Arabidopsis thaliana: one gene and its partner. The protein of the gene in region 1 interacts with the protein of each later gene in a pairwise test. Each region holds a gene or a part of one and is shown in the gene's direction. Other genes may lie near its edges.

The links.
Region 2: the proteins of LUL3 (region 1) and GDU2 interact in a two-hybrid assay, tested with the Arabidopsis thaliana proteins (one study listed by BioGRID).

The regions. Positions count from the first base shown.
Region 1 is NC_003076.8:6,368,394-6,385,068, forward strand, and holds LUL3 (RING/U-box superfamily protein), read left to right. Parts: upstream 1-9,755; 5' UTR 9,756-10,006; coding exon 10,007-10,524; intron 10,525-11,026; coding exon 11,027-11,525; intron 11,526-11,774; coding exon 11,775-11,894; 3' UTR 11,895-12,212; downstream 12,213-16,675. Other genes in the region: AT5G19050 (alpha/beta-Hydrolases superfamily protein), read left to right, coding at 914-1,189, 1,604-1,680, 1,815-1,920, 2,042-2,134, 2,225-2,290, 2,429-2,574, 2,680-2,788, 2,907-2,971 and 1 more; AT5G19060 (cytochrome P450 family protein), read left to right, coding at 4,618-6,273; AT5G19070 (SNARE associated Golgi protein family), read left to right, coding at 7,176-7,271, 7,544-7,605, 7,794-7,848, 7,980-8,078, 8,204-8,290, 8,370-8,486, 8,580-8,672, 8,753-8,783 and 1 more. UniProt on the Arabidopsis thaliana protein: Acts as an E3 ubiquitin-protein ligase, or as part of E3 complex, which accepts ubiquitin from specific E2 ubiquitin-conjugating enzymes and then transfers it to substrates (in vitro).
Region 2 is NC_003075.7:13,110,092-13,124,900, forward strand, and holds GDU2 (glutamine dumper 2), read left to right. Parts: upstream 1-5,936; 5' UTR 5,937-6,057; coding exon 6,058-6,447; 3' UTR 6,448-6,864; downstream 6,865-14,809. Other genes in the region: ABCG4 (ABC-2 type transporter family protein), read right to left, coding at 536-2,269; AT4G25770 (alpha/beta-Hydrolases superfamily protein), read right to left, coding at 7,798-7,979, 8,157-8,280, 8,367-8,419, 8,517-8,572, 8,654-8,817, 8,941-9,180, 9,259-9,329, 9,422-9,489 and 1 more; AT4G25780 (CAP (Cysteine-rich secretory proteins, Antigen 5, and Pathogenesis-related 1 protein) superfamily protein), read left to right, coding at 11,016-11,588; AT4G25790 (CAP (Cysteine-rich secretory proteins, Antigen 5, and Pathogenesis-related 1 protein) superfamily protein), read right to left, coding at 12,157-12,521, 12,932-13,199. UniProt on the Arabidopsis thaliana protein: Probable subunit of an amino acid transporter involved in the regulation of the amino acid metabolism. Stimulates amino acid export by activating nonselective amino acid facilitators.

The DNA.
Region 1 (16,675 bases):
GACATTTTGTTTTGTCCGATCGATTTTGCTTTGTATTATATCTTTGCACCGGAACACAAATTTTTAGAATATCGAGCGATAAAATTATCTAATACATATTGGGGGGGGGGGGAAAACTAGAGAAAATCACTATACTAAATTTGTTTTGTTTAAAGGTTTTAGTCACTACACTAAAGTACTAGATCGATATATCACTTCTGTATCATTTACGGGACAACAATGAAAATTCTTCGACTATCGTGTCTTTAAACTTGTCGTCTGGTCAAAGAAACAACACATGCTCTGATGCTCATATTAAAGTACAAATAGTACGTATGCATGTATACAAGTTACGATGTGTGTGCTTGATGCTTGCATTTAATCAATCAAAGCAATTTATATAGTTCGTAAACTTGATGCTAAACATGTTGGGCCGATTATCCTCGTAATTCTCAAATCGGATAATGCTAAGTTGGCTTTTAAACTTGGCAAGTCTTTTATTGGGCTTTACTAATGGATTCATAGATTAGTAGTTACTCTAAGGCCTTCTTATTAATTCTTATTAAGATCATAATAAGTTCCTGAATAGGGGTATCAAAATAAGAAATAACATTATACTCAACCATTCACTCTTGTTAAATAAGAATTATTAATTTATTTTCCTACTAACCATATATGAAAATGACACGAAATAATATTATAATTACATTATGAGCCATCGTAGTTGAGATTAGAGACTAATTATGTATTTAGACGTTATTATACATAATAAATTTGAGACGCAATCAAAAACTTCAAAAGTCCGACATGAATACCAACGACTTTCTCTCGCCACGCGTATGACGGCGCGTGTATTTCACTCTTTAAAATTTCGTTTCATTTGTCTCGCAAAGACGAAAACGAAATCTGAAACGGTCACACACAGTCGCTAGATATGTCTCTCTCGCTTCCATCTTCTTCCGCCGCCGCTGCTGCGGCGTCAACATCGGGATCATCATCTTCTCCGGCGGCTGCTTCGTCTTCCTCAACAACCACGTCATGGTTCTCCGGGATCGTTCGTGGTCGTGGTGATAAATCCGGCACCGCGAAGCTATCTAAAAGCTCTTCCATGGCTGGAGGAGGAAGCGGAAGCGGAGATTACGGTGGACCAATCAAAGGGAAGAATCAATTTCGCGGTGTTTTGTTCAAATACGGTCCTAAATCAATTCAGGTTCGCTTCTCGATTTCGATTTGTTAAATTGAATTGCTTTTGAGTTACTTCGAAGCAAAGACACAAAATTTTGAATAATAAATTATCATTTCGTGATTCTAGGGTTGCTTAAATATGTGTGTTGTTATATTGCTTCGTGACTGTTTTTAGCAAACATTGTGTTCATCACAAGCTTGTTTGCTGATCATGTTTAAGGTTCGTTGAAGAAAGTCAATGAAAATTTAGGTCAACGTTCCAAGCCATGTGAGACCTTGATTTCAACTTTTGCATCAAGTTAGATGATTTTAGTTGACCACTTGTAGCAGCTTTGATCAAAGTTTACAAAGATGGATCCTTTTTGAAAATCAGAATAGGTTTACTATAGATTGTTGGGTATAGTAACATCAGCTTCCTTGTCTGTTTATGCATCACCAGGTTGCTTTTAAGACCGGAGAGTATAAACAACAAGTGATATTTATCGGTGGATTAACTGATGGACTTTTAGCTACTGAGTATGTAGCTTCTTCTCTCTTTGACCTAAATCTTTATCTTTTGGGAGAAATTGTGTACAGTGCAGATACCTTATCGAATCATGTTTGCTTCATGTATATTAATTGATAGAACATTTGCAAATTGGCTGTTTCAGTTACTTGGAACCTCTTGCGATTGCTTTGGATAAAGAGAAATGGTCACTTGTTCAACTACTGATGTCTTCTTCATATTCTGGATTTGGCACTTCCAGCTTGAAACAAGTAAGAGTTATTTCATATAATTTCATCTTGCCTTGTAATATTGTTAGTCTCTGGGAAAAAACTAAGAATTTCTCCATTCCGCAATATACTAAACAATATATCTTTGTTTCTTCTGATGAAGGATGCACAAGAAATCGACCAGCTAATAAACCACCTCATCAACAAAGAGAATTCTGAAGGTGTTGTTCTGCTTGGTCATAGCACTGGCTGTCAGGTGATTGGTTAAGCCCTCAAACACTTTTTGATCATGGTTCTGAAAGAAAAGTTATGACAGAAACTTGTGTCTTCTCGCATTTTGAAACAGGACATTGTGTATTATATGGGAACAAATGCGGCATGCTCCCGAGCTGTCCGGGCTGCAATTTTACAGGTGCGAGTCCTAGATTCTTTGACTTCTATTTTGCGTTCTCTCTTGAAGCTACACTTTTTATTATGTGAAAGGCCTCGTATCATATGTTCTGACTGTAGTGTAGCTTTGATCATATTGCCTATTGCAATGCTTACTTAGGCACCAGTCAGCGATAGAGAGTACAAAGCAACGCTTCCTGAAACACCTGCTATGATAGACTTGGCTGCAAACATGATAAAAGAAGGTCGAGGAGAGGAGCTAATGCCTAGAGAAGCTGATCCTTGTGCTCCAATCTCTGCTTATAGGTCAATATCTATTTCCTTCTACCATATTCGTAGCTTTGAAAATGGAAAAATTGTGATTCGAACATGTCTAAATACAAAAATCAATCTTTTGCTTGCTTCCTGCAGATATCACTCCCTCTGCGCTTACATGGGAGATGACGATATGTTTAGTTCTGACCTTAGTGATGATCAGTTGAAAACTAGACTTGGCCATATGGCTAACACACCTTGTCAGGTATAAAAAAAAAACTAATCAAAAGCATTTCCAGTCCCGCTGAACATAAATTTTTCTAGTTGTGGCCAATTGGGCATTGATTAGCTTCTTATATCATCTATGTCTTGGTTCTACACAGGTGATTTTCTCCATGGGTGATGAGTATGTACCAGATTATGTCGACAAAAAAGCATTGGTCAATAGGTGAGGGCAGTTAAACTAAAGTAATTATAAGAATCTGTAACTGAAGACACCTTACATAGACATGGATGTCCCATTTTTTTCATTTGTTTGCAATTTAAGTTAAAATTGGTATATATGAAGAACTATAGATGCAAACTTTGGATCAAAATGATATCGAAATGATTGGACATGAACAATCAGATCAAAAGGATTGATTTGATCTTTGTGATTACAGATTAAGTAAAGCAATGGGAGGAGCAGAGAAAGTGGAGATAGAGCATGGGAATCATTCTCTCTCCAATAGAGTTCATGAAGCTGTTCAAGCCATCATTGGTTTTGTCAAAAGAGAAGGACCCAGTGGTTGGGATGATCCTTGGAGCTAAATCTGCTTTTTCCATTTATGTGGATGAAAAACTTATCCAAATCTGAATCTCATGAATTAATTCACTTCTTGGCTGATTCGTAACCATTTATCCTTAAAAAGTAAAAAAGTAAATTGTTGTCCTTTTGTTCTGATATATACTTGGATCATTAAGAAAAGTGTCTTCCTTATTATATCCTTCTTTTGTTGCTTGGTTTTGTCTTGCTGAGTCCATAAGTTAAGCTTGAACAGAGATGCTTTGGGAAACTATGAAAAAACTAAATCAGTAAGCAATCAAAGGTAAACGGTAAAGATGATATAACAGAGTGTTTGGTAAGATGATAGTACCAAATACCAAACACTGACACCAATAAATAGGCATTGAGTTGTCCAAAGGTTAGGTAAATAACAGAAATTTCCATTAGTGTATACATAACTGTTTCCTCCTAAAACAATCAACAATTCAACATCATACTAATCTTTTTTTTTTTTTTTTTTTGCCAAACAACATCATACTAATCTATATCTTCTTTTCTCTTCTGTTCAAAATTTATACCAGTATATTCAAATTTAGAATAAATTATGTAAGTATTTAGTTCTTGCAATAAAAGAAGATAAGGAAAGAAGAATTATTTGAAGGATCATTGTAAGCAAAAAGGTTTTCAGTTATAAAAGGATTTCAATTGGTGGCAGCCTAACAATTTTTCTTTCTAAATTATGAAGTTCCAGTCTCAAACCTAATCTTTAAATAATTAGTTGGGTAGCTACTAAATCTCAATATCTGTTTTTTTACACCAGTTTAAAATTTTTATCCCGGCAAAGAATATGTAAGCGGGGGTGCGACAATGACCAAACAAACAAGACACGTGACCGCGAACATTGTCCTAAAATCCCACCGTACACTGAAACGTCACGCCGACGCGACTCCTGAACACGCTTCCTTCGCAACAACACATGTCAGTGCTCATTAGTTGGCGCGATCACCGGTTCGAGCCAATGCTAATATCTGCTGATTCACAAGGGTATAATCGTCTGTACATCATTAAATTGTCATTTCTATACTCTTCGGCCTTTTGGCAAATCACATTGAATTTGAAGCAATTTTCCTTCCGACAATCTCTAAATTCTTACCTAATTAGTACTTTTGGAGACTAATGTTCTGCTCGAGATTCGAAACTAGGAAACTAATAAAAATCGGACCTGTTACTTACCAAAACTACAAAATAAAAATCGCACCTTTAGAAATCGCCTTGTCACAAATTTGATTTCTTGCCGATTTGTCATCATCTTCTTCAGATTTCTTCAAATGCCGAAGAAAGTAGTGATTCCGTCTCTGGCGATGAGTCCTCTACATCAATGGAGATTAAGTGCGCTAACATCTCTCGTCTTCTTCCTCATAGTTGTTGTCTGGAGCATTGACAGTTGTTCAATCAGAAGCTTCATCAAATCATGGAGATTCAACTCTTACTCTATACGACTCACTTCTCCTCCTTCTCTGGATCTGGATCCGACCCGAGTAAAGCTTGCCTGGATCTCCGTCGAGCAAGAGCAGAACTTCACAGCGAATGTACTCAAAAACTGGTTAGCTCCGGGTGGAGAGAAGTGCAGAGAAGCAAACACCGTTGAGATTTCTGTTCCGGGAATCGAAGGGAAGGGTTTAGTAGAGTTAACGGCTGGTGAGATTCACGAATTCAGATTTCATTCTCTAGATGATTCTGGGGAACGAGTTTGTATCGGTGGAGATTACTTCGAGACTGATCTTTCCGGTGAAAACTGGAAATCAAGACCACCGGTGAAAGATTTAGGAAACGGAACTTACTCTTTATCTCTTCAGATTCATCCTGATTTCGCCGGAGATTATGATCTCACCGTTGTTTTACTCTTCCGTCGCTTCCAAGGTCTTAAACTTAGCCCTGCACGCTTCGCATTCAACAGAACGCTACGAAATTTCAAACTACGGTTTATCAAGAAACCTCACGTTGTTTTACCGGAGCTCCGGAGATGTGAATTGTCCGATTTCGACAGAGATGTTTGGTCTGGCCGGTGGATTAGGCTTGGTAAGAACGACGAGTGTGAAATCAGCAATGATGGACGTTACCGTTGCTTACCAGATGGTTACCGTTGCCGGGAACCATGGTGCGACGGAGCTTTATCGGCGTTAGAAAGCAATGGTTGGGTTTACTCGAGTCATTGCTCGTTTAAGCTATTCTCTAGTGAATCAGCTTGGGATTGTTTGAAGAACAAATGGATTTTCTTCTGGGGTGACTCTAATCATGTTGATTCGATCAGAAACTTGTTGAACTTTGTCTTGGGTCATCCGGAGATTGGTGCTGTTCCTAGGAGGTTTGATTTGAAGTTCTCGAATCCGAAGAACTCATCGGAAACAGTTAGGATCACGAGTATCTTCAATGGACATTGGAACGAGACTCAAAACTATCTAGGTCTTGATTCACTTGAAGATGATAGCTTTAGAGAATTGCTTAAAAGCTATTTCGTCGAAGAGACCGGTGTACCGGACGTGATGATCGTTAACTCGGGTCTACACGACGGTATTCACTGGTCTAACCTTAGAGCATTTACGAAAGGAGCAGAAACCGCGGCTGCGTTCTGGAGGAACGTTTTCGACTCGGTGAAAGCCCGGGGATTGCGACCTCCGAAAGTGATTTTCAGGAACACGATAGCGACGGGCGGTTACGCGAGGAAGCTTGCGTTTAACCCGAGCAAGATGGAAGTGTACAATGGGGTGTTTTTAGAGAAAATGAAGGGGTTAGGATTGGTCTCAAGTGTGATTGATAACTTTGACATGACGTATCCGTGGCATTTTGATAACCGGTGTAACGATGGCGTTCACTATGGAAGACCTCCGGCGAAAGTGCGGTGGATAGACGGCGAGATTGGGCATCAGTACTTTGTTGATCTCATGCTTGTTCATGTCTTGTTAAATGCAGTTTGTCTACGTTAGAGTAGAGGCTAGAGAGAGCTGCTTTAAATTTAAGTTTGGTTTAGGACTTAGGAAGATTCTTTTATTTGTCTCGTGTAGACTTTTCTTGATTATGTTAGCCTTAAAATTCGGTATTTAGTCACAAGCTGAAGACAAATAAATCGTCATCTTTCTTTCATTGACAAATCATCCGATTACGCATTGTTTTCTCTTTTCAAAACTTGGTCATTCAAATAAAAAAAATTATAATTCCATTTGTATATAATGAAGAATCAGTACTTTGAGTAATTAAATATTTGGATCATGAAATATTCATGTCATATACTTATGTCATTGTTTTTTATTATTATTTTTTTGGTCAAACTTATTTTGTTCTTTTTATAATGTCATTATTTTATACATATCCAAATATAAAAAACATAGTTAATTCATACAAGGCGGATACAAATGTGATTATTAATTGTTCATTCTCTTCTTATTTTTAGTAAATCGAATAAAAAATTATGTATGGTTCTAAATAATAAAATCTCATCCAATTTAATTTAAAACAAAAGGAATTAGATAATATTGAAATCGATTAAGGACGGCAAGGAAGTCGGTACGCGCCACGCGGTTTAATGAAACCAGTCACAGTTCTAATGCTTACGCTAAACATGGAGTCTCCAAACCAAATCAACGACAATTGAATCCACACCTTCACGAAACCCCCCAAAGTTTTTGTCTTTTTCGGTTTCGGATTACATCATCTCCAAGACAAGCACCAGCATCAGATTTTCTGCATCCTTAAAGATCTCGTTGCGGTTTTTGTCGGAATTGTTTCGATTTGTTGTGGTTCTCAATAAGCTCTCGCTTGTCAGAGAAACACCGGCAACGCCGTTGAAATAGTCACCGGAGACCATTTTGCATCGTAGAGTTCGCCTTTTATGGCGTTCACGTGGGGATCTGCTCTCCGGATTTCTGTTCTCCTTATCCTTGTAGCTGCAATTGTCTTAGCTTGTTATTTTCTCCCTGTTGAGAAGGTTCGTAATTGGCCTAATTAGGGTTCTCAATGTGGTTATTCTGACATGGGTTTTTGATGATCTCTGGAAATTGACATGCTTTTCTTTGAATTTCTCGTAAATGTCGCTCTTTTGTGTTAGCAATGAAAAAGGATTGATCTTTACTATCATTGATTAACTAATTGTCAGAAAGCAAATGCCCTTTTTGAATTCGTTTCATTTGATGTTGTGATTTGTAGTATTAGCTAGTTTATGATCTGAAACTTACTAATTTCCTTTGTATTATTTTTCAGCTATTGAAGGATTTTTTGTTATGGGTTGAACAAGATCTAGGGCCTTGGGGACCTTTTGCCCTGTAAGTCTCTTTTCTTCTTGTTTCTTGAGCTATGGAGCTAGTTAGATTCTTGCGTGAGTAATATAGCAATGAGCTACACTAACGGTGGTAGCTGAATCACTGTTTCATTGCTAATGTTAATCCATAGATATAGGAACATGAGATTACCTTGGTACTGAACTTCTCTTTTTTTTTTGCGATGTCTGCAGAGCTGTTGCGTACATTCCTCTAACAGTTTTGGCTGTTCCTGCCTCGGTTCTCACGGTATATATACATATTTCTTTTGTGTGTGATATATTTACCGCTATCATCCACTCTCAACTTTCTTTGTTAGAGTGACTGGTTTATCTATAAAATTGAGAAATCTTATTTGGTTGAAGCTGTGATATATTCAGCTCGGTGGTGGCTACCTTTTTGGGCTGCCAATTGGTTTTGTGGCGGACTCAGTCGGTGCTACACTTGGCTCAGGAGCTGCATTTCTACTAGGCCGTACGGTAAGCCACTCAAATTCTTATTGATTTGCAGACACAACCATTAGATTAATGAAGTGACATGCATAAACCACTGACGCTATCCTTTTTTGATATTTTGGTACTTACATGAAAATGCTCTTATGCAGATTGGAAAACCTTTTGTAGTTGCAAAATTAAAGGATTATCCTCAGTTTCAATCAGTGGCACTCGCGATAGAGAAATCCGGCTTCAAGGTTTGCACTGAGAACCCATTACAAGTTTTGTGCTGACACTCTTCTTTTGAAACTTATGAATATGCAAAACTGAATATAGATATGCTTGTTGCTCCGGCTTGCTCCTCTTCTTCCGTTCAGCATGTTGAACTACCTCTTATCTGTCACGCCAATTCGGCTAGGTCCATACTTGCTTTCTTCGTGGTTAGGGATGATGGTAATCTATTCTAATCCACCACTTCATAACGACTGCAAAATGTTTAAATTGTAAGATGGAAATAATACAGCTTGATACATTGTTAATTTGCAGCCAATAACACTTGCGTTAGTGTATGTTGGAACAACTCTAAAAGACCTTTCTGATGTAACTCACAAGTGGAGCGAGTTCTCGCCAGGTCGCTGGGTAAGATCTACACAAATTTTAATTACATTCTCAGCTTCTTGTTTCAATCTCTATTCTGACCTGTTTTCCGCAATCTGCAGGCGTTCTTGATTTCGAGCCTTGTAATATCCGGTTAGTTCGGCATAACTAATGTTACTAGTTCCTTCGATTGCGGCAGAATCACTAATGTTACAAGTTCCTTCTTCTATCTGTTTCTTTGCAGTGATATTAATGGTGTGTGTTACAAAGGTGGCGAAGGACGCTCTAAGAAAAGCTTTAGCAGAGCACGGAGGAGACATGAACGAAGCGGTTGCAGCCTTGCCGGAGCTGACCGTTACTGATGATGCTTCGACGGATTTAAATGAGCCTCTCTTGATAAAGATAGATGCACAACAACCTCAAGACCAAGTAAACCATAGTCATTAAAATTAAGATGATGAATACTTACTTTGTATAATCTTTATTTTAACATACAAAGCTTAGTTTTCTTGGTTTGTATAATAATAACATAGATTAAAAATTATTTTTAAAAAGTTATTTTTCTTAGTAACTTTGAGATGTAATTATTAGTTCACAGAGATTTAAAATATTGGATGAATAAAAAGAAACTAAATGGATTTTGGTTTGAGTTTCTAATTGCTCCAGCTAATCAGATATTTTGTTGACATTCACAAGCATTCTAAACATATCTATGACCTAAAAATGTTACAGGTATCTTAAAAATCTCCTAAACCAATATTCAATGAAGATTGTTGAATACGACTAAAGGTATATTTATTATACACAGAATCTGTTATGCATAAATTGAACCCATCAATTGAATATATGGGTATATTCATAACCAAAATTAGCTTTTATGATATTGGCTCAACTATTTTGGACTATTTAAAATCTCATCTTAATAACATAATTGGAAGAAAACCAAAATTAAGATGAAAACTTGTAAACTTTTATAAATGATCTGAATATAATTTACTAACATAATATTCAAAGTTAAGAACTTGTTGATATATGTGGTCAACTATAAAACACCACGTTTGAAATTCATAAGGTATTAGTTGATTTTTCATAGTTTTTCTCTATCAATAATGCTATTCGAAAAACGTCATGTATGTGTGTTTTCTAGATTTGAACAAGAAGAAACGGTCTTGTCTCTTTCGTTAGACGGTCATGTCTTCGGGAACATCCGATTAAAAAAAAAGTTACACGCGTTGACTTTTATTACAAAAATTGCAGTAAATCTGGCAGTAACTGCGTAAAGTAAAAATAATGTAAATAATAATCTTCACCGGAAGACAAATCTTTTGATCTGACTTTCGTCTCTCTGTCTCTCTTGTCTCGTTTCTTCAGAGGCTATGGGGATCTCCTTAAGCAAGCGTCGACGAGACAACAACAACAACCACCACCATCCCCACCACAATCCGCCGTACTATTACTCCGATCCTCCACCACAACAACCGCCGCCTCAAAACGGGTATAGCTACTCTCACAATTACCCCGTTTCAACTCCACAGCTCTCTCTTCCTCCACCACCGGCTCAGCCACCGTCTTCTTCTCAGCCTCCTCCGTCGCAGATTAGTTACCGACCGTACGGTCAAAACTACCATCAAAACCAATACTACCCGCAACAAGCTCCTCCGTATTTCACCGGTTATCATCACAATGGGTTTAATCCGATGATGAGGCCGGTTTATTTCGGTCCGACTCCGGTTGCGGTTATGGAACCGCCTGCACCTTATGTGGAGCATCAGACCGCTAAGAAGGTTAAGAACGATGTCAATGTGAATAAAGCTACGGTGAGGCTCGTAGCTGACGATCTTAACCCTGGTCATTATCTTGTTTCCTTCGTCTTCGATGCCTTATTCGATGGCAGGTATAACTTCTTCACTCCAAAATTTGAGTCAAGTTTCCGACTTTAGAACCAGAATTTGAATGAGATTGGCTAATTAGCGTAGAGGGGTCTTGTAGATTATACTGAATCTCAAATTTGGATCGTAAAGGTTCAAACTTTACATGATATGACTCATTTATTCAGTGAAAGTTAGGGTTTTTGCTGGGACGAGATTGATTAAAAGGAAACATCTTTACTCATGTTTCAGTTCTGAATTATGTGTTGCCACAATTTGGGATGAAAAAGGTTAAAATTTGACATGATCTAGGTGATGAATATGTGATTGGTTCAGAAACCAAACAATACAGGCTTCAGTTACATAACTGATTGATTTTAGGAGTTATTGTAGTTCATTTAATGGTTCGGAACTACTAAGCTAGTTAGCAACTGAATCAACCTTATTACTCTCCTGTGTTGCATACCAAGTTTAGGTATTAAGATTATCTGACGAGGAGTCTCATTATGTTACTTGTCTCATTTTCAGTTTCACTATCATATTTTTTGGAGAAGAGGAATCAAAGTGCACAATCGTCCCTCATTTACCAGAAGCTTTCCCACCAATCAAAGTCCCTTTCCAAAAAGGTGCCGGGCAGAAGTTTCTACAAGCTCCAGGGACAGGAATCGACCTAGGCTTCTTTTCACTGGATGATCTATCGAAACCATCACCAGAAGAGGTGTACCCACTTGTAATATCAGCCGAGACAGTAATATCACCAAGCTCGGTTTCAGAGGAACCATTAGTTCATAAGCAGATCACTCAAGCGGTTTTGGAGAAGACTAATGATGGATCTTTCAAAGTGAAAGTCATGAAACAGATTCTATGGATTGAAGGAGAACGATATGAACTACAAGAGTTGTATGGAATCGATAATTCAATCACACAAGGTACTGCTGCATCGGGGTTAGAGGATACTGGTGGCAAAGAATGTGTCATTTGCTTGACTGAACCTAAGGACACAGCCGTCATGCCTTGTAGACATTTGGTACAAACTTCTAGCAATTCTCTTTGCTTTCTTCAATTCTTCTAAACGCAATTTTTTTCATTTACTCGGTAAACCTATAAATCGTTGGTAGCGTTTCAGTTATGGAACAAGCAAATTCTGTCATTTTAGACTTGCTTCATATTGCTGTTGATTGTCTCTAAAGCAAATCTACATCAAGTCTTTCACAAGACCATAACTTTTTGGTTGAATTGTCATCAAGACTAAATCATGTTGTGTTGTCTGTTGCAGTGTTTGTGCAGTGATTGCGCAGAAGAACTGAGGTTTCAGACAAACAAATGTCCCATTTGTAGACAACCTATCCATGAGCTTGTAAAGATTAAAGTGGAAAGTAGTGATGAACAACACTGAAAAAGAGGTTTCTTCCCTTCACTTAAACACCATGTTTGATTCTTTCTTCTTCTTCTTTTTGAAAACCGTCAAATCGAATTCTTTTGCCCTTTTTTCTTATACAAATGTGTTTTCTCATGTCATACTCTTGCACATATTTGTTGGTCTTAGTTTTGGGAAACTCAAAGAAAAAAAAGTCAGTAATGTATATATAGCTCCAATGGTTCTTGAGAAACTTTCTCTTTGTATCTTTCTACTTGAAACACTCATTCTGTAACTGAATACTTTTTGGTTTGGGCATTGCTCAAATATAACTTGCAATCATATGTTGTTTATCGTAACGTTTCGGGTTTATAATCTAGAAACCGAACCTCCTAGTAACCACAATTCTATATCAAAAATAGACAGGAAAAATCTGCAAGAGTCTTGGATAGCTCTATGTGTCCCTAATTTGGCTTTCTTTTAACTCTTTCTTTTTGAGAAAGTAAAAGTTTGTGTAGATGAGAAAATGGGGACCTTGATAATTACAAAGATTCAAAAGAAAATAAAGAGAGATGGGAACTGAAGTTGATGAGAACATTCAAAGAAGTAATCTTTTTTTCTTCTCTCCTTTTTGCTTTTTGTCTGTAAAAAAGGCTCAAATAAAAGGAAAAGCTGGTAGGAGATGGAGAATGTTTCCTATTGAAGTTAAGCCTGAGAAAGAAAAAAGTTTTAAAAAAAAAGTGAAGCTTGAGTTCATTCTTTTTGACAGAATGCTCAAACTTTTGAAATGAGGAATAAAAAAAAGTCTTTGTTTGATAGTAGTGAAGTGACTCTCTTTACAAGCAATATTATTTCTCCATACACATTATGATTCCATGTGGTATCATATCTATGAACTATGAAACCCCTAGGGTCTATGTGTGATTGTCTTTGTCTTGTTTTGGACTATATAATGAATTTGAAGTGATACTTTTCCCTTTCTGCCTATGACAATGTTTACTAGTCATACCATGATGTTTAATCAAAATTCCTTACCGAATCTCGGCATTGATCACCTATTTCTATGTATGTGTCACTGTATCAATATATTTTTCAATTTCCTATATTCTATTTTAGACCAACCTTCTTTTCTTAGATTTGACATTACAGTGGATATATATGGTTCAGAAAGAAGTTTTAAGTTTTAACTAACTCCACAATTGCATTCAATTAGCCACTAGGAAAAATGATTGATGTTGCTCAATGGAATATTTAGCAATTAAAAGCAAGATTACTTTTCATAGGGTAATTGTGGCTGAGGTTTAAACTCAAAATGAAGATAATGACGATTGAAAGACTAAAAGATTATTGGAATTGAATTGACACAGCTCAACGCACAACATAATGTGACTTGAAGGGGAAAAAAAGGAAGTACCTATTTTTGCAGAAATACTTATGGAGTTTTTGTAGACATCTAGATCTTTAGGGAGTTATGTTATTGGTTATATACTTATATAAAGGTCAAGGCTCACAACTTTTCATGTACGTGTTAGGGATTCAATATGAGAGTCACATAGGTGTATATGGCCTCGTCACATGGCTTAGTAAACGATCTATTTGTGGTGTTTAGTGGAGATGGGAAGCGTCGTTGTAAGATGGTGGTGCGCCGCAGTTACTGATATAATAGGTGTTGCAATATTGAAGTCTATAATATTTGGTAAAGTTCAGTTCATGGCTAGCTTAGCTCTGAACTTGATTTATGCGTTTTGGATGTTATCTTGAAGATGTAGGTTGAAAAGAATATATTTCGTTGATAATTTTGTATCTTATTATTTGCACACTCGAGTACTATTTATTTTCTCGTAATGTAAGTATGTAACCTAGCTCCAAATTTCTTCACTTGCAAGTTTAGGATTGCAAATAACTAGTCATGATGGCTTCCTTGTGTGTGTGGTGTATACAGATATGCTACATGGATTTTTAAAATTTACAGTATGTTAAAACTAATACGAATCTAGTACCACCGGCAAATATAATGTCATTATTTCCGTCAGTTCATAGTTCATATATACTGTCAATTCTCAACCATATATAATTTACCAAAAAAATAATAGAAACCTCTATTATTCTGTCAGATTCTCAGCCATATATATACTTACCAAATAAATATAAACCTCTTGTATCATTCACACTATCAAGATTTAACTAAATACGGACTAATAGCCAATAAGTTTAACATTTTCCAAGCTAAAATATAGCAATTCAAGTCCGAGACGTATTATGATAAGATTCGTATAAGAAAAAAAAAAAAAAAAAAACGAATCTATAAGGAAAAGATGGTAACAAAAGGAGAGAATAGAGACAAAACCCCCAATTAATGTCATTTTGTCAATAAGAAGAAGATGACCCCATGTGAACATTGGAGACTCATGTGACTCAATTCTATCATTTTAGGCAAATATTCAGCTACAAATTTTATCGCAATAAACCCAAAATTATTCAAATGTTGGTAGTTAGCTGATAAGTAAGTTGTTTTTATGTTGTCGAATTCAAGTCTTGTGACTTTCTATAGATCAAAGTCTTTTTGTTTTCACTAAGAAAAAAATGTACAAATCAAAAATTCAGCATTTATACAAAAAAACACTGAATTGTTTTCCCTTAAGACATATACAGCATATATAAATATATATTGAGTCCTTGTATCAAACTTTTTAAATTAATTTAGAACATCATGAAAATTTTAGGGATCATCGTGCATAATCGATTTATAACTTTTGACTGGCAAGATAAAATCGTTTTGATCATTCAACACAAATTTGCTAGCATATACCCAATATAACTTCAAATAATCCAATAATGCAGCAAGTTTTCGACAAATAATTCCCCAGCCATCGTAAAACTTTATCATAAATGTCAAAATTGTACCATGTCCTTTCGTTCTAAAAGACTTGGCCTATAGTATACGAGTTAACGTTACTTTTTGTCCTATCCAATTATATGGTACAAAAAACTACAAACTACTGATATATGGCGATGAAATATCTACTAGCTAGATTTTTTTACGAGTAACACTTTTTGTTGTTCACTTAATTAACACCCCCTAATATTACTAGGATGTAACATGCTTGTATCTCGTTCGTTGCTTTTTTTTTCTTCATTTCTAAACTTCTCCATATATAAACATTTATGGTATATATATATATTCCATAAAAACGATAGTTTACGTGTATAAAAATCGTCGGATATAACTAAAAAGCGTGAGCCACCAAACAATATTAGGGTTTATTATGATCGATCTCATCATGTACAATGCATTTAATTTCAGCTAATGGTACGATCATATTAACTACATGCTAACAAGTAGTACTAATTAATTAACATCTTACATTTTGTTCTCTTTTTCCATATAATTTCGCAGGCGTAATTATAATCTTATGATTCTTATAATTTTCGACTTTAATTAAGTAAGTGCTCAGATTCCATGCATTAGTAGCTTAGTGGTTAGTTAGAGTTGAGTTAGGATATACGGTCAAGTTCATACATCACACATGTTCAGTGACGATTATGGTACTACGAACAAATCCGTTGTGCATGAACCACTTAATTGGTTGTTTAGGATTTGGTCTAGACAATAAATTCGTGGTGGACTTACGAATTTTTTTTGACCAAGGAACATGCTCACATTTGATATTAATTACTTGGTGCTTCGGCAAAGTTAGAATGAAATCAAGATTTATATATTTTTCTATGCATGTGTGTTCATAACTTCTTTTTTTGGTTTTATTCGCTTTACTAATCGACAATTACATCAGTGAAATTTCCTTTTTTCATTAAACAGTTATATCTTTAAAAAAGAGTTTAATTATAGTATTATTTAAATTTAAAGCAAAAAGGAAAACTAAAATAAGGGAAGAATGTCTCATGCCATGTTTACATTATTTAGGCTTTTGAAAAAAAAAACAATAATGATAAATGCGTAGAAAAAAAGTGTCTAAATTTAGAGAGAAAAAAATGCTTACCAGCTAAGAGCATCTTCATCAGTGAAATACCTTCTTAGTTTCTAAAAAAAAAAGATATTAGTATTTTAATAAATATTAGTTATATAATTAAATTTTAATAATAAAATAATATTTAATCAATAGATGATATACAAGTGTTTTTATGGGTTTCTCAGAGTTCTACTCTCTCTCATACTTTTTGATTATATTTTATTTTCATATTGAACAGTTTCTGGATGAGAAACTATCGATGGAAATGTTCTAAAATATTACTTATAAGAAAATTAAGAGAAACTGATGCGGCCGAAAACGTGATTATGTTCACTCGTAAGAGTGAGGCTTTCATCATTTACCCAACCCCACCCTTTTTTTCCCTTCATTTTTTTTTTGTTTTCTCTTTTAAACTAATCTTTTAAAGTTACAATTAGTTGTTTAACATTCTTGTAGTAGTATTTCTTATGTAAGGTTAAATCTCTTTTTCCCATTAAGACAAAATAATAATAATTTCAAACTCATATTCGTATGCCATATTTTCACATAAGGCGTCTCTTTCTTTAACCAATTTTGTCATTTTTTCATCTAGTTGGTCCCACTGTTTCAGTTTTAACTTTTACTATATACATATCATTCAATTATTGAAGTAATTTGGACAAAAAGTCAAAAATAAAAAGAAAAGATAGTTGGATATAACTTGTGAACTCTAAAAATCTGTTTTTTTTTAGTAACGCAATAAAAAATTTAAGCTTTAAAAAACATTAACTAAATTTTAAGCTTTCAAAATCTTAGGTTGATAGATACTATCAGAATCCTGCGGTAGTGTGTAGTAGATACTAGATAAACCAT
Region 2 (14,809 bases), on another chromosome or scaffold:
CACTAACATAAATGATAAAACAATCAAGATCATGAATCCAAATCACAACTGAACTTTTAAATAAACCTTTAATTTTATATTTGTACATACATTTAGAACAATAATGTATAAACTGATATGGTTTTCCAGAGGAGGTGAAGACCATGTAGACCCGTGACGATCTCTTTTTTTTGGCCAAGTTAGAAGATACACGAACATGGCTCAAATATCTCTTAATCCAGTAGATTCTCTATATTCCCTGCACACGTAACCCAATCATAGAAGGCTAGATAGTACATCAAATAGTTCTCTTGGTTTTCTAGTGACATTATGAATGTATGTGAAGCTCATGGATATACACACTAAATACATGATAGAACAATGTATAAAACGAAAAAAATAAAGGAATTTATACTTTCATTAACTCATCCATCAATAAATTGCTTCTTTGTGTTCATCCATCAATTAATTTGCTTCTTTGTGTATATACCACGAAGTCTACAGAAACAAGAAAATCCCTTATATATAAAATTAAGCTTAAGAAATTGAAAAGCATTTATCTTTTGGAACCCGAAACCCTTTTAAGCAAAACAAGAAAACACAAAACACGATATAGTACGAAGAACCCTAACAACATATAAACATTAAACCACCTCTGTCTCTCATGAAGCCCATTCTTGTCTAACACGTCACCTCCAGTAACTAAGCAGCTATTCACAGAAGCTTCCTCAAACCAGACCAGGCACTTGTTGTGCAGACACGAGTACTCATTTATCAGAAGTGCGTCCAACGCATACTTGTACATTGAGAAGAAGTACATGAAGAGCCAGTACTTGGGAAGACTCTCTTTAGAGATGAAGTAACCAGAGAACAAGAAGAAAGCCGCAAGAAGAATGGTCACTGAAGATGTTCCAGCAATGTAGTTAGGTGCGAGAGAGCTCAAGAAAAGTACAAAAGAGTTAGCCATTAGGACAATGATCCAGATTACGAGCACAAAGTAGGCGAGAGCTTGCCATGAAAAGCAGAGTCCTACAAGGAAATAGAGTGAGACAGAGTAGATGATTGCGATGAGTAGCAAGTATGGCAAGAAAACCAAAGTGTTTGCAAGAATGTGAGAGGAGAGTCTGTAGAGTCCGCTTGAGGTTTCTCGGAGAAGAATAGGTCGTTCATCAATGAATATTGGAAGGGTTTGGGTAGTGGAGGAGAGGAGGAATGTGAGGGTGAATGCGAAAAGGCCAAATCGTTTCCTGATTCCTTCTTTGCCAGTTCCGATATTAAGGTAGATAGTGCCTAAGACAAGACCGACTACAAGAGATTCTAAGATGTTTGTTAGAAGCAACTGCCTTGTACGGTATATGATCTTCCAAAACCTGCTAGAGAGAAGGCTTATTTCGGTGATTCTCGAGCTTTTATATCGAACAATGCTCTGTTTTTGGTTCTGTTTTTTACTTTCAGGGCAGTGGTCTGGAAGAGCAATGTTGGCGTTTTCGTAGGGATCACGGATGTTCTGAAGTATCTCCATAGCGTACTCAAGAGAATTCAGCTGAGAAGGAACCGTGAATCCCTTGGAGAGCAAGAATGCTTCAAGTAAGTCAAGCCTTCCATGATATACAATGGTTCCTTTAGAAAGGAGTAACACGCGATCGATGAGAGACAGGATCTTGAAGCTAGGTTGGTGTATGGACAAGATCACGATCCTTTCTCTGGACGTCGCAATAGATTTGAGAATTTGAACGACATCGAAAGCGGATTTACTGTCTAAACCCGAGGTGGGTTCGTCGAGGAGTAGTACTTCCGGATCATGAAGAAGACTTAGACCAATTGAAACCCTCCTGCGTTCACCACCGGACAAGCCTTGACCTAGTCTTGTATGTGCAAGATGTGTTAGGTTTAGTTCTTTGAGGAGAGAAGCAACGACACTGGAGACTTTTGATAGGTTTTTTGGGAGCAAGAGAGAGGCGGAGAAAGTGAAGGTCTCGGAGACGGTGAGGAGAGGGAAGAAGGTGTCGTGTTGAGGAACGTAGGAGGAGATTTTACGGTAAGAAGAAGGGTTAATAAGGACGGAGTTTAGAAGTATTGAGCCTGAGGTCGGGGAGGTTCTTGCGGCAAGGATATCAAGGAGAGTTGATTTTCCGGCGCCGCTAGGGCCAATAATGGCGAGGATTTGGGAAGGATGAGAGGTGAGAGTGATGTTGCGGAGGATGAAGGAAGGTTGCTCCGCCGTGAGGAGGAGCGGTGAAAGAGGTTTGGCGTAGGAGATGGAAGAGGTGGATAAAGTGTACGACTCCATTTTGAGAGAAATGTTTAAAGGTTGGAGAAGGGAAGTGAGTGTTGTAAAGAGAATTTATTGATGCTTGAGTTTGGAATGTTTTGTATTTTCCAATGAAATTGACAATTTTTCAGTCTTTTTTTCTTTCTTATTTGTTTTTTGACCTTTTGGTTAATTATTTTGTCTTTTCTGTCATTTTGAATTTTGCGTTACATAGAACTCATCGAATATAATTGTGGTCAAACGGTGATGTAACCAGGATGCGACAGTAAGACAAGAGAGAGTCAGATATTGAAGAGATCATTAGAGATTCAAGTCCAAATTAAGATGGAGTTATTAGTGAGAAGGTGGATCCAGAAGAAACGAAAATTCTTAGATATATTCTCATAAAGAAAGCTTGCTAACAGTTACGTATACACACATTTATTGAAAACATGTAAAGATGGATCAAATGAATATGCATGTGTGTCATAGTGAATATATATTGTTGAGAAACTGAGAAGAAGAAAGCCAAAGGGGAATGCAGATAAAGGTCACGGGCCTGCTGACAATTATTACACAGAAAATTGCAAATCACGTACAAGTCTATTTCCCAATCTCTGCATCTTCCTTTGTTTGTTTGGCACACAATTTGCCAAACCATTTTTACAATTACATATTAATGACGTGACCAGTCCTGGATTTGAAGGAGTTTCTATAAAAACAATCTGGCTTAAACGTTAGTTAGTTATAGTTACTTGTGGTTGCTTTTACTTTAGGTATATCACCGTACATGCAAATGAATAAACTTTAGGAGTTAATAGGTGAAATAATTGTAAATGGTACAATTTCTTTATCTATGAAAGAAAATATTCTAAACAGAATTTGAATCATATTATAGTAACTTGTTATACATATCACATATGTGATATGTTTATATAGTTTGTTATACTAATAAAGCATTCTCTTCACTTTCTTTGGCCATCAATATATCCGTATCTCATGTTGTGTTTTTCCTAAATTTCTACACATAATAAAAAGTAGCATGTTGTTTCAAAGCCCCTTAACGGGTACAAAAACAAGAACAGAGTGCAGGGCTAAACAGAAGAAAATTGACATTAGGAAATCAGAAATAAGCCCATTTGAATGTGGATCAATATTGAAAAAAATGTGTGAAAAGCAACTTGCAATGTCACAAGATAAATATACCATGCCGTATATATCATAACTGCAAGAACAGACCCAAAACTGAAAAGTGAAAAGAATGTGTGTGGGTAAGTTAAAGAGTAATGAAGGCCGACAGGCGACAGTGGAGGAGGATGGACCAGACCAGGGTGCTGGGCGATGAGGACGTCTCGGCTAAAAGCTGAACCACCCTCCACTCTTAGGTCCCACAAAGGCTGGTCCTCGTTCACAAATGTACTCTCTCAAAGAAACACCCCTTTCTGCTTTATTACTATTCCCTCTCGTTCCTCCACTTTTTTGTAGCAGCTTCCACATGAATCATGTCATAACTGTTACAACATATTCCAAAAAAAAAACTATAGAATATATGTAGGAAATGTTAATCACTCTGTTTTTTTTGTATCTTTACTCTTTGTTTCTTCTCACTAGATACCGTCCTATACTTCTATTAGTGCATAACACTTCCTTAGACACTTGCTTTTACACTTTCCAAAATTATTTTAAACATGTATGTATATGATCATGTCGCCATGGTTGACGATATATACAATTATTGTACTTTCATCTCCTTTTCTCATCTTTTCTTTCAATAAACCTTATTTTTATTACCATATCTTCTCTTTTTCTTGCTAGCAAATGTTGATTATTTTATTGTAATTAAACTGTTGTTTATGACTTAATGTTCAAACTTCAAATAACATGTGTGAACTGTGAGGCATGCAATAATGATATTTGTTGCATATCTATCAGTTTTTAAAAGTGTCATCATAGCTCTATAAAGCTGTCTATTTAAATTAGATATACCTATCTCAAGTTCACTAATCCGTATCTAAAGAGAAAGAAAAATATCTTGATAACTAAAAATGAGTTTTAGAATGTACGGAGATAAGTTCTGAAAAAAACTGAACGAGCCACCTTTAAAAGTAATTAGATGAAGAAATAAACACAATTTGAAAAACTACATGAAAGCTAATCTCTGACTTGAGAAGTTGAGATATTTGGAACCTTTGTTAATTCTTTCAACACCGAAAACGATTTCTTAGGAAATTTCAAAAGAAATAAAAGTAAAGAGGGCAAGTATTCTGATTGTTAACCAAGCACAAAATGAAGCACCCATCAATCAATCTTTTCAACAATCAACATACCGATTCTAATTGGTCTGGCAGAATAATTACCGGAAAGGAAGAAGAATAGAACTCCAATATTTAATTATCGTACTTAATCTGTTTGTTCGAGAAACTAAATAATGGGTTCCTAGGTATATGTATTTATTTTATACATTATCTTCACATGTAACGTGCCTATTTAACGAGAATATGATTCCCTATGATTCATGCACAAACACAAATCAAATCCGGAATTTAAGTCGGATCAGGGAATAAATTATACAGCCCACACACATAATAATTTAAAACTAATATATACACAGTGAGGGGATTTAAAAGTAAAACTTATCTCCAAAGATTAATGTAAGCGACTAGTGATTGTGTTGGCATATTAACCGCACATAACATTGTTTGGGGGTTTGGATGCTTTAAAAAAGGTTCTGCCTTAGAAATTCCTTTTAGTTGACGTAATGATATATTATTGCTTACTGTAATACTAGTGGACACATTAAACAATGATCTTAAAGTACGAATGAAGAAATTAAAGAAAATGGAAGAGGAAGAATGTGGAAATGGAGAACGTAAGTGAAAGTGATTGGAAACTAATGGAATATCCGTTTTTCCTTTAGTCATGGTGGAAGCTGACGCTGAGAACCTACCCCTCCAATTGCACTACTCGCTCTATTACTTTATCTAACCAGAAGTTTTTTAAATACCCTTTACTGTATATAGTTCTTACAGTTTTATACATATTGTTAAGAACTCCATATATAGTGTATAAATGGCATTGAAAATAGTTTTGAGTTGAAACTCCTAAATGATATTAAATCTTGAGTTTAACCTAATTAAGCAAAGTAATAAAAACTGATTAGCCAAAACAAAGAGGTTAGTTAGTTCAACAGTTAGGTTAATGTGCAAATTGCCGTAACAAGATTATTAAATAATTCTTAACTTTAATTAACCTCTATCCATTATTGCATTTAAAAGATACTATTAATTAAAAGCCACCAATAAAAATTTAAACTTTATTAAAGTACTAAAGACGGATATATTAAACAAAACAATTATGAAAAAAATAAGAAAACCAACTTAATACAAGTTCAAATTAACATCCAAAAGAAGGAAATATACATGATTTTACAAATGTCTTCATTGAGCCACCACGTTAAACTAATATCATTTTTGAGGTTGATTAAAAAATTATTCATGTAAGTATAAATGCAAAAAAAAACTACATCTCTATATCAAAAACCAATCAATTGTTTACTCCATTATGGAAGATGATTCCCTAAAAAATAATTTCGTTAATACTCACTCTACAAAGTACAAATAATGAATACTGACTTTTTTCATACATTCCAAAAAAATACTGAAAACTGAACCATACACAAATCCATTGCATTAAGAAACAATCCATCCCATACGTTCCTCTATAAAACGCCTCTCACAACACAATCTCATCTCCCACCAATAAATTAATTACTTTTTTAACAAAGAAAACTTTCATTTCATTCACTCTTCCCAAACAGTAAAACACACATGCAGACAATGGAAGGACGACAATATAATTACCAAGACAGCATAAACGCGAGCTCCTCCATGGTGGTGCCTCACTCGCCTTGGCACTCTCCGGTTCCTTATCTCTTCGGTGGTTTGGCCGCCATGTTGGCTCTCATCTGCGTCGCTCTTCTCATCCTCGCATGTTCCTACTGGAGACTCTCCGGCTCCGCTGAGAGAGATCTTGAGGCCGGAGATGATGCCAAACCCGACAATGACACCAACAAAACTAAGCACACAGAAATGCCGGAGAAGTTTCTCGTCATAATGGCCGGTGATGTCAGACCTACTTACTTGGCTACGCCAGCGACTCGGTCTGAGCAAAGCTGTACTTGCGGCGATCATAACGAAGAAGAAGGAAGAAGAGGGTAGTGATCAGGTGGTATAGCAGAGCACCGGAGGTTACGGTGAGCCCTCCCTCATATTTTGAAAACAGAGCATTCGTTACGGAGTACTCCGGAATCGATCCGTCCGGTCTTTTTGTGTCGGTTCATAATTACGCCAACCTTACGTGAGCTGATGGGATATAAATTAGAGTTTTATTTATTTCGTATGGTTTTAGTTTTTTTTTGGTTGTCTCAGTTTTCTTCAAATTTTTCCCGTTTATGGTTCATGAAGGAATATCCGGTACATGTAAATTTTAAGAGTTTGAATAGATGATTGTTTTGGACTAGCGATTAAAGATAGAACTGAAGCTTGACAGACAAAATAAATAAAAGATACAACTAAAATCGTGCGTCCTTAATTCAGTTTTCGTGTATAGAGAGACAAAAATGTTTTCCCAGTGAGAGATGTACAGACATGATGCTTACGAAAGAGGGAAAGAGATGTGTTGTGAAAACTTCTAGTGATGTGCCAACAATGACGCATGCCGAATATTAAGCTAATTCGTTGTGGCGAACCGAAGTTGAGAATTATTCTCTTTGTACCTTTATTCCTAAATTTCTAGATATATTACTAAATATCATCAAGTTTTATCAAAGAACAAATAGCCTCTCAACTATACATTTCTCTCTTTTTTTCTTTTCCAGGCATATCCATTTATCATTGTTTACCATTCACTGAAATTGAAAGCATTATCGTTTATCGTTGGACAATAAATTGTCGTCTTTTGGATGATCAGTACAATGTGAACAGTGACACATATAATGGATGGAGACTACTGCAACTAACTGAATAATTGTTTTTCTAGTATGGGCAATTGGTCACTGGTTGTGTCATGTGTTTACGTCCTTTCGTTTTCTTGTCCAATTCCTACTATGTTTATTATGTGAACGTGTCAAAACAAACGAGCTCGCAAATGATGCCAATAAAACTGGAAAACCAACAATAATTGTGGAAAAATCGACATTCAACTGGCGCCAAGTCTTATGATCAAAACAAAAACTTATAGAATCGATAGTGACAAGAGAAGTATGAACCTTTTTTTTTTACAAAGAACGGGTAGATCTGTACAGATTCATTGTTCGACAGAACTATAAAACATTTTAAATAACCATCAAGGAAAAAGTGCCAAGAACTTTACCACGATTTGTATCGCATCAAGCATCATACTAAATACGATATAAATAACCAACAAAAAAGAGAAGAAGTTTGTGATGCTTATCGCCTTCTTACAGTGCTGACTAATTGCAGCGGTTGAAAATGTTTAGGGCTAGAGACCGAAATGATCCATCATGTGGAAGACAACATCTTTGCCATCAGAATGTAACCAATATGTTTTCACCTACACATTACAGGGAAAATTATGTCAAATGCTCTTAACAAAATCGCTTTTGAGTTTTGAGTTCTTATCATTAAACTTGCCTGGATGGTACTATGCGCGACGTATCGTTGCTTGCTATTGTGAAAGCTGACATCTACTCTTTCCCAAGATAGTTGACTGAGTCCATGTATCATTTCCTCTACATTTCACAAAAACCATAACAGGACGAAGTTAGTGATTCTACTTGTTATAAAGAAGACCAATGGGTAATAGATAGCGAGGCAAGGATCTACCACATTCCATAAATCTGATAGAGATATCATTTTTTCTAGCAAATTTTGAAAAACAAATAGTCAAGTGAGAAATAAAGCAAAACCTTCAAGATCAGTATCTTGCTCTGTTACTACTGTAGAAGTTGACTGGCAACTACCATTGTCCACATTTCCACGTTCTACGTATACAATGTGTGGATAGTTTGGATCCGTTGCTAGAAGATTTGGCTGGAAGATGAGCAGGGATAATAGTTATTGATAAATCCCACAACGTCATTAAAGATGTGCACAAAATATAATAAGTAAAGACATACCTTTGGGAGTTCATTTGGACGGCGAATTGAAGATGTCCTCCATCCAACCATAGCTTTCTCATTAGTTAAGGCAAACTCTTGTAAATGATAGAAATAATCAAAAACCATTGACAGTCTCTTTAAAAACATGTTTTTTTCAGGGAAGGATACAATCAAAATTCACGTTTGCATATGCCACACGACGCTTGAAAGCATTTAAAGCTGATCTGTTGAGGTCATAAGAAGAGATGATGAGCATATCAATCTGCAAGTCACCAATGAAAACACCCAGAAGCTAGAGCATTTACATGAATTTCAAGTCATCAGAATCTGTAGCCATCCGGATAAGAAGTGGAGCATTTCCATCATCGTTGTCCACCAGAAACAAATGCTTTCCGGTCCTCCCAGCAGCCAAATGTGCAGTTTGGGATGCTGTTCTTTCAAGAAACGGAAGGCCACAAAGAATCGGGAACTGAGGGAATGAAGACAAGAGTAAGCATGTCATACAGATTACAGAAAGAGATTATCTATATATATATATGCAAACCTTACATAAACATTTGACCTAGGCATGCAGTCTAAAACATCAATTCACCTGTCTATGTCCTCTTGAACCAAGATGAGGCGTTGCGAAAGTTATAAAGTTCATAGGTTCTAACCCAGCAATTTCGCCTCCTCTTGCGCTCTTCTCCTTCGAAGGAGAGTCCAGAGAGTCGACTTCCCCTGGCTGTTCATAGAGCTTCCCTATGGCATATCTTGCAACAAGACCTCCTAATGAATGAGCCACAAAAGATATCTTCTTCAGCCCACTTCTATGCTTAACAACACCCAAAACCTTCACAAATTTTCAAACATAGAAATCAAATTTTAAGTTGCAAGTTACAGAGGAAACAACAATGCATCCAAATACTACCTCATTAGCTAGCCTTTCACCCATTTTATCAACACCATCAAATGTCAACGTTGCACTATTACTCTCGCTACCTGCTTCATCCAATTTCATCATCAAAATCAAACAAATCATAAAATTACAGAGTAATCAAAACCACAATATCTATAGGTCAAGAAACACGCACGGTGCACTAGTACTTTATCCGGGAACTTCTTCACGAACTGCTCCGCCGCATATTTCCAATCCGCCGCACTAAATCATCATCCAACACAGAATTAGCACAGTCTTTAACCCAAACTATAGTAATCTGTAATTCTAATTGAAGCTCTTTGATTTAGTCTACCTGCCAACGATTCCGTTAACCATGACCACCAAATGATCAGGCTTCTCCGCAGACTCCATAACATCCGCATCGAAAAAGTCTTCTCCGCCGTTGTCGATCTCCGTCGTCAGCTCTCTTTTGCTTCGATTCGCCGCAAAGCAACCGATTCCAAGACGATTCATCCACTCCATTTGACAGAGATTCTTAGGTTGAGCTGGAAATTGAAGGTATAATCTGAAACGGAACTGGTTTTGACTAGGCGGAAGAAATCGCGGTGAAGACGGAATCAAATCGGGGATTGAGATTTGGAATCTGGAGAAGGACGCGATCATGTGGAAGTAAAAGGAACACAATAAGAAGGAAGTTATCTTCCTGACTAGCAAACTGATGATGACAAGTCGCTTAACTTTTCCGGCGAAGAAGTGTTACAATTTGCGGGTTTTGCGGAGGCGCTAAGCAACAGTAGCGGTAACATAGAAACACTTGGTCAAAATAAGTTTTTAAAAAAAATATTAATAGTGGATTGATAATAAATTAAAAACTATAAGAGGTTAATGGTGTTGTTATTAACAAACAAAAAAACTTTAATTTTGGAAGACTTGCAAAAATCTACACTAAAATGTAGAGATTTATCAACTACTATTAGTATAGGATAAATAGTAAATAAAAATTATTTCATTGCAAGTACATCTAATCTCAATATAAAATGTAAAGATTTATTTCATTAAAATGTCTGGATTTGTTTTCTTTTCTTTCTTAAAAGTAAAGCACATTTAAATCAATTATTTCAAGTTACTCATTTGATTATTCATATTGCACATGTGACATGTATGACAAAAAAAAAAATCTCTTTCACATTAAAACGTGTAAGTACTAATTAAGTACCAATAGAATCTCTTTCACATTCTTTTGATTTCCAATTTCGATTTGGCTTAATCGATTGCTAAATTCATTCGTTTTTTTCGTCCTTCTTCTTTCTTAATTTCATCCCTAACTATTTGATTTATCTTCCATAGTATTTTATATCATTGCATGGATTAAATTGATGGCCATAATGTTGTGAGTTGTGAGTGCCAATATGGGTTGGCAAGCATGCTGACTTATTGGCGTTTTCCGTGACGACCCACCATTATCAAATATCCGCCTATCTAATACGTCCAACATTAGGGTTTCACGGGACAACACATAACACAATCATATCATATCTCTCCAATAAAATAATACAATCCATAATTATCATCAATCTCCTTTTCTTTTTCTTTCTAAAATTTACAATCTGCCAGAGCCGCTACATAATTAGACAGAGCCGCTAAAAAACCCCTCAAATTTGTATCCATACATTTCCAATTACACAGTTTATCGTTTCCTTCTTTTTCTCTGTATATTTAAATAACACACTTGAACCTCCGAATCCATTAGCACCTACAAAACAATATAATCTCAGAAAAGAGAGAGGATGAGCTCATCCTATTTACGAGTAATATTACTCTTAGGTGCCCTTAATGTCGTCGTTTCTTTATCAATAACCAATTCTTTAATAACCAAATCAGCAACACTCGGTCAGGTGTTCCGAATCTGTAAGAATTTGTGTCCGGGATGTGACCACGACTCCTTGCAGTTCTTGTTCCGACACAACCTGGTCCGTGCCGCAAGATTCGAACCTCCTTTGATATGGGACCGCAGACTCCAGAACTACGCCCAAGGGTGGGCTAATCAAAGAAGGGGAGATTGTGCTTTGAGACACTCTGTCTCAAACGGAGAGTTTAATCTCGGCGAGAACATCTACTGGGGATACGGCGCCAACTGGTCTCCGGCCGACGCGGTGGTTGCATGGGCCAGCGAGAAGAGGTTTTATCATTACGGCTCCAACACGTGCGACGCTGGTCAGATGTGTGGTCATTACACACAGATTGTGTGGAAGAGCACTAGGAGGGTCGGATGTGCACGTGTGGTGTGCGACAATGGTGGGATCTTCATGACTTGTAACTATGATCCTCCCGGTAACTACATCGGCCAGAAACCCTATTAATTTATCATCATTTATCTATTAAAAATTCTCCAAAATAAAGTCATCTTACTAATTTTTTAGAAATTATGATGACTTTTTAAAGGAGATTAGGTGGGTGTATTTGTGTATTTTACTAGAAAATAGATCTATTTGTGGGGGTTGTGATACTAATTATGTATCTTGATTATTTTAATTGATGGTTGTAATTGCATCAACGGTTATTTATATATCCGTAAGAATGCCCAGTGTACAAGAATATATAAAATATAAAAAGATGATATGATTTTTGTAAAGAAATGCCAAGTACAAACGGAAAATTATATTGTTTGTGCATATTCATATCTAAGTAGTATTTAGTTATATAAAATTTAAGGGAACTAAGGAAGGTCTTTTGTATACCGATTAAAATTTTATTTTGGGGACATGACCATCACAAAATGAAAAGTAGAAACAACAAAATGTTCATAACACCATCAACTTAAAATCCATAGGATGATAAGTTTTAAAAGAAACAAAAGTCAAGAAGAATAAAAACATAGATTAAGAAATCACCAACGTTAATTTAAAACAACTAACGTGTTAGACAAAGTTAGTAAGGCTTCTCCCCAACGTAGTTACCCGGAGGGTCGTAGTTGCAAGTGATGAAAACTCCTGCGCCGTTCTCGCAGACAACTCTAGCGCAACCTAGGCGCCTGGTTTCACGCCACACGATCTGAGTGTAGTGACCACACATACCATCTCCTTCACACGTGTTGGTCATGTGGTTGTAGGACTTAGCCTCCACAGTCCATGACTCCACTGCGAAAGTCGATGTAAAGTCTGAGCCACTTCCCCAGAACAAGTTCTCACCGTATGGGCCGGTCGAGTGGGTTAAGGAGCAGTCGTATCTCCTCTGGTTAGCCCACCATGTTGCATAGCTTGCGATCTTTACGTCCCACACCAGTGGAGGCAAACCTGTTGGGAATGAAAATTTTCATATCAATATACAACATTACTAATAATTTAATTTGATATCACAATTATGTTAACAAATGTTATTTAATTGTTCGTTTCTTTAGTGTAGTCCATTTCCTTAGAACATGTATGTAATATATAAGGTCTCAAACAAAACAAAATATATCTGGTTTAATTTCTTTGTATCTAGAAAACATCAAAATACGGATATATTTTTGTTAATATTCTATATATATCCTAATCGTTTTTATCTTGTAGTTTCTTATGAATAGGACTACATATGAGTATGACAACAAAAATTACAAAGATATATCATAAGTGACCGTTTATGTTGTTTATGGTCATGCATAGTCTTATAACTATGACCACATCGGGTCTTAATTCTATTTATAGTTAATATATGAAAGTACCTAGACCGCCTCGGACAGTATTATGTGGATCAAGAAATTGTTGTTCGAACGAGCCCGTGGGTGGTTGGTATGTGGGAGGAGGCTGATAAAGGATAGGTTTGGGGCTGGGAGTTGGGAGCGGCTGGGGCTTTGCAACGTAGGGAGGAGGGCTCGGGGTTATAGGTCGCTGTGGGCGGTGCCGGTAATAGTCTGCATGAACGGCTTGGATGGCGACCAAGAAAAGGGCGATTGCGAAAACTATGGCTTGGGTTGATGTTGTGGTCGCCATCTGTTTTCTTCGTGGAGTGGCTCCAAAGATTTTGTTTTGGATGGTGGTAGAAAATGATTTGATGAGGGTGATTATTTATATGTTTAAGTTAGTGCTTAATTAATTATGACAATGCAATTTGGGAGTCAACTAGAAGTGGCTTACATGTTCGATTATGGTTACCACTTACCACTTTGTTTCGCTTTAGTAAAAGCGAGAGAGTTGTAGTCTTGTAGATATTTTAACCATGCAAGTAGGTATTTTATATACATTTTTTCCTTAGACTAAAGATCAATAACAGAGATTAAATTTTCTAACGGCAATATTATAAGAATTAGTAATAAAAAGAAATATTATCATTAAAATATAAAATGTGAGGTTTATGATACATTAGTTGGTCTTTAGAAAAAAATGTTTGTCGACTAAAAAAAAAAAAAATAGATTGAATGTAGAAATTTCAACAGAGAGAAAAAGGGAAAAAATGTCTATTTTTCAATACCACTTTTCAAAAAGGCCCCTCCCTAAACTTCTAATTATTAGTTGTTTTTTTTACTTAAGTATTACTGTAATAGGTTTCCTGGAACAAAAATTGTTATAAAACTAGATTTTAACCTGCGGTATACCGCAGGGACAATTTATTTTTTAAATTAGTATATATAAAAGTTTGCAAATTAAATTTATTTATAAAATATTTTTATTTTCTAGTTTACAATTGTTATTAAGTAACGTCCTCTCAAACCCGTCCCACAAAAAAAAACCCGCGGTACACCGCTAATTTAAATATATAATTAAAATAAATATTTTACGGGATTGCAATTGTATTTTGGTTTGTCAAACAAATATTTGTTTTAAATAGTTGCCAAAATCTAGTTCAAATTTTGGAGAAATAAGATTTATTGGATAGATAAAGAATGTATTTAGGTGTGTTTTGCTCTTTTTAAGGGATTGCAATTGTATTTTGGTTTGTCAAGCATTTTTTGTTTTAAATAGTTGTTGAAATCTAGTTTAAATTTTGGAGAAATCTGCCTGACATATGAGATTAGAATATATTTGAAATATTTTTTGTTTGTTAATCAATTTATTACTAAAAAAAAACAATAATTAAAAGTTAGTGACAGCCATTGTAAATAAGTGCCAACTACAGAATTTATTTCACAAAATGCCTACAAAAATGTATATGTAGATTTTATACAAAAATAATTGACAAAAGGCAATAAAATAGAATTGATCAGCTGTAAAAGAAAATAATCAGAAAACAAAAAACACACAAAAATCAAACCTAAAATATGACTTATAAAGTTTCATTTTTAATCAACTATAAAACCAAGTATGTTCTGACAACTCCTTAGTAAAAACTTATAATTTCGTAAAAACAATAAAACCGTACCGAAATCTGGCTTAAATATTTTAAAATTTTATTCAACCAAATCAACATATTGTAAATATAGTAAAAGAAACAAGGAGAAATGGATATAAATTTATTAAAATAAAAAGCAGCACTACGTGGAACGTACGGCTGTTATTTTATATACCATCGGAAAAAGTCACATTTGAGAATGTCGTAAGTCCCGACACGTGACTAGCACGGCAGGTCTACCGTAGATAAGCGTAGACCTCAGCACACCGTACCA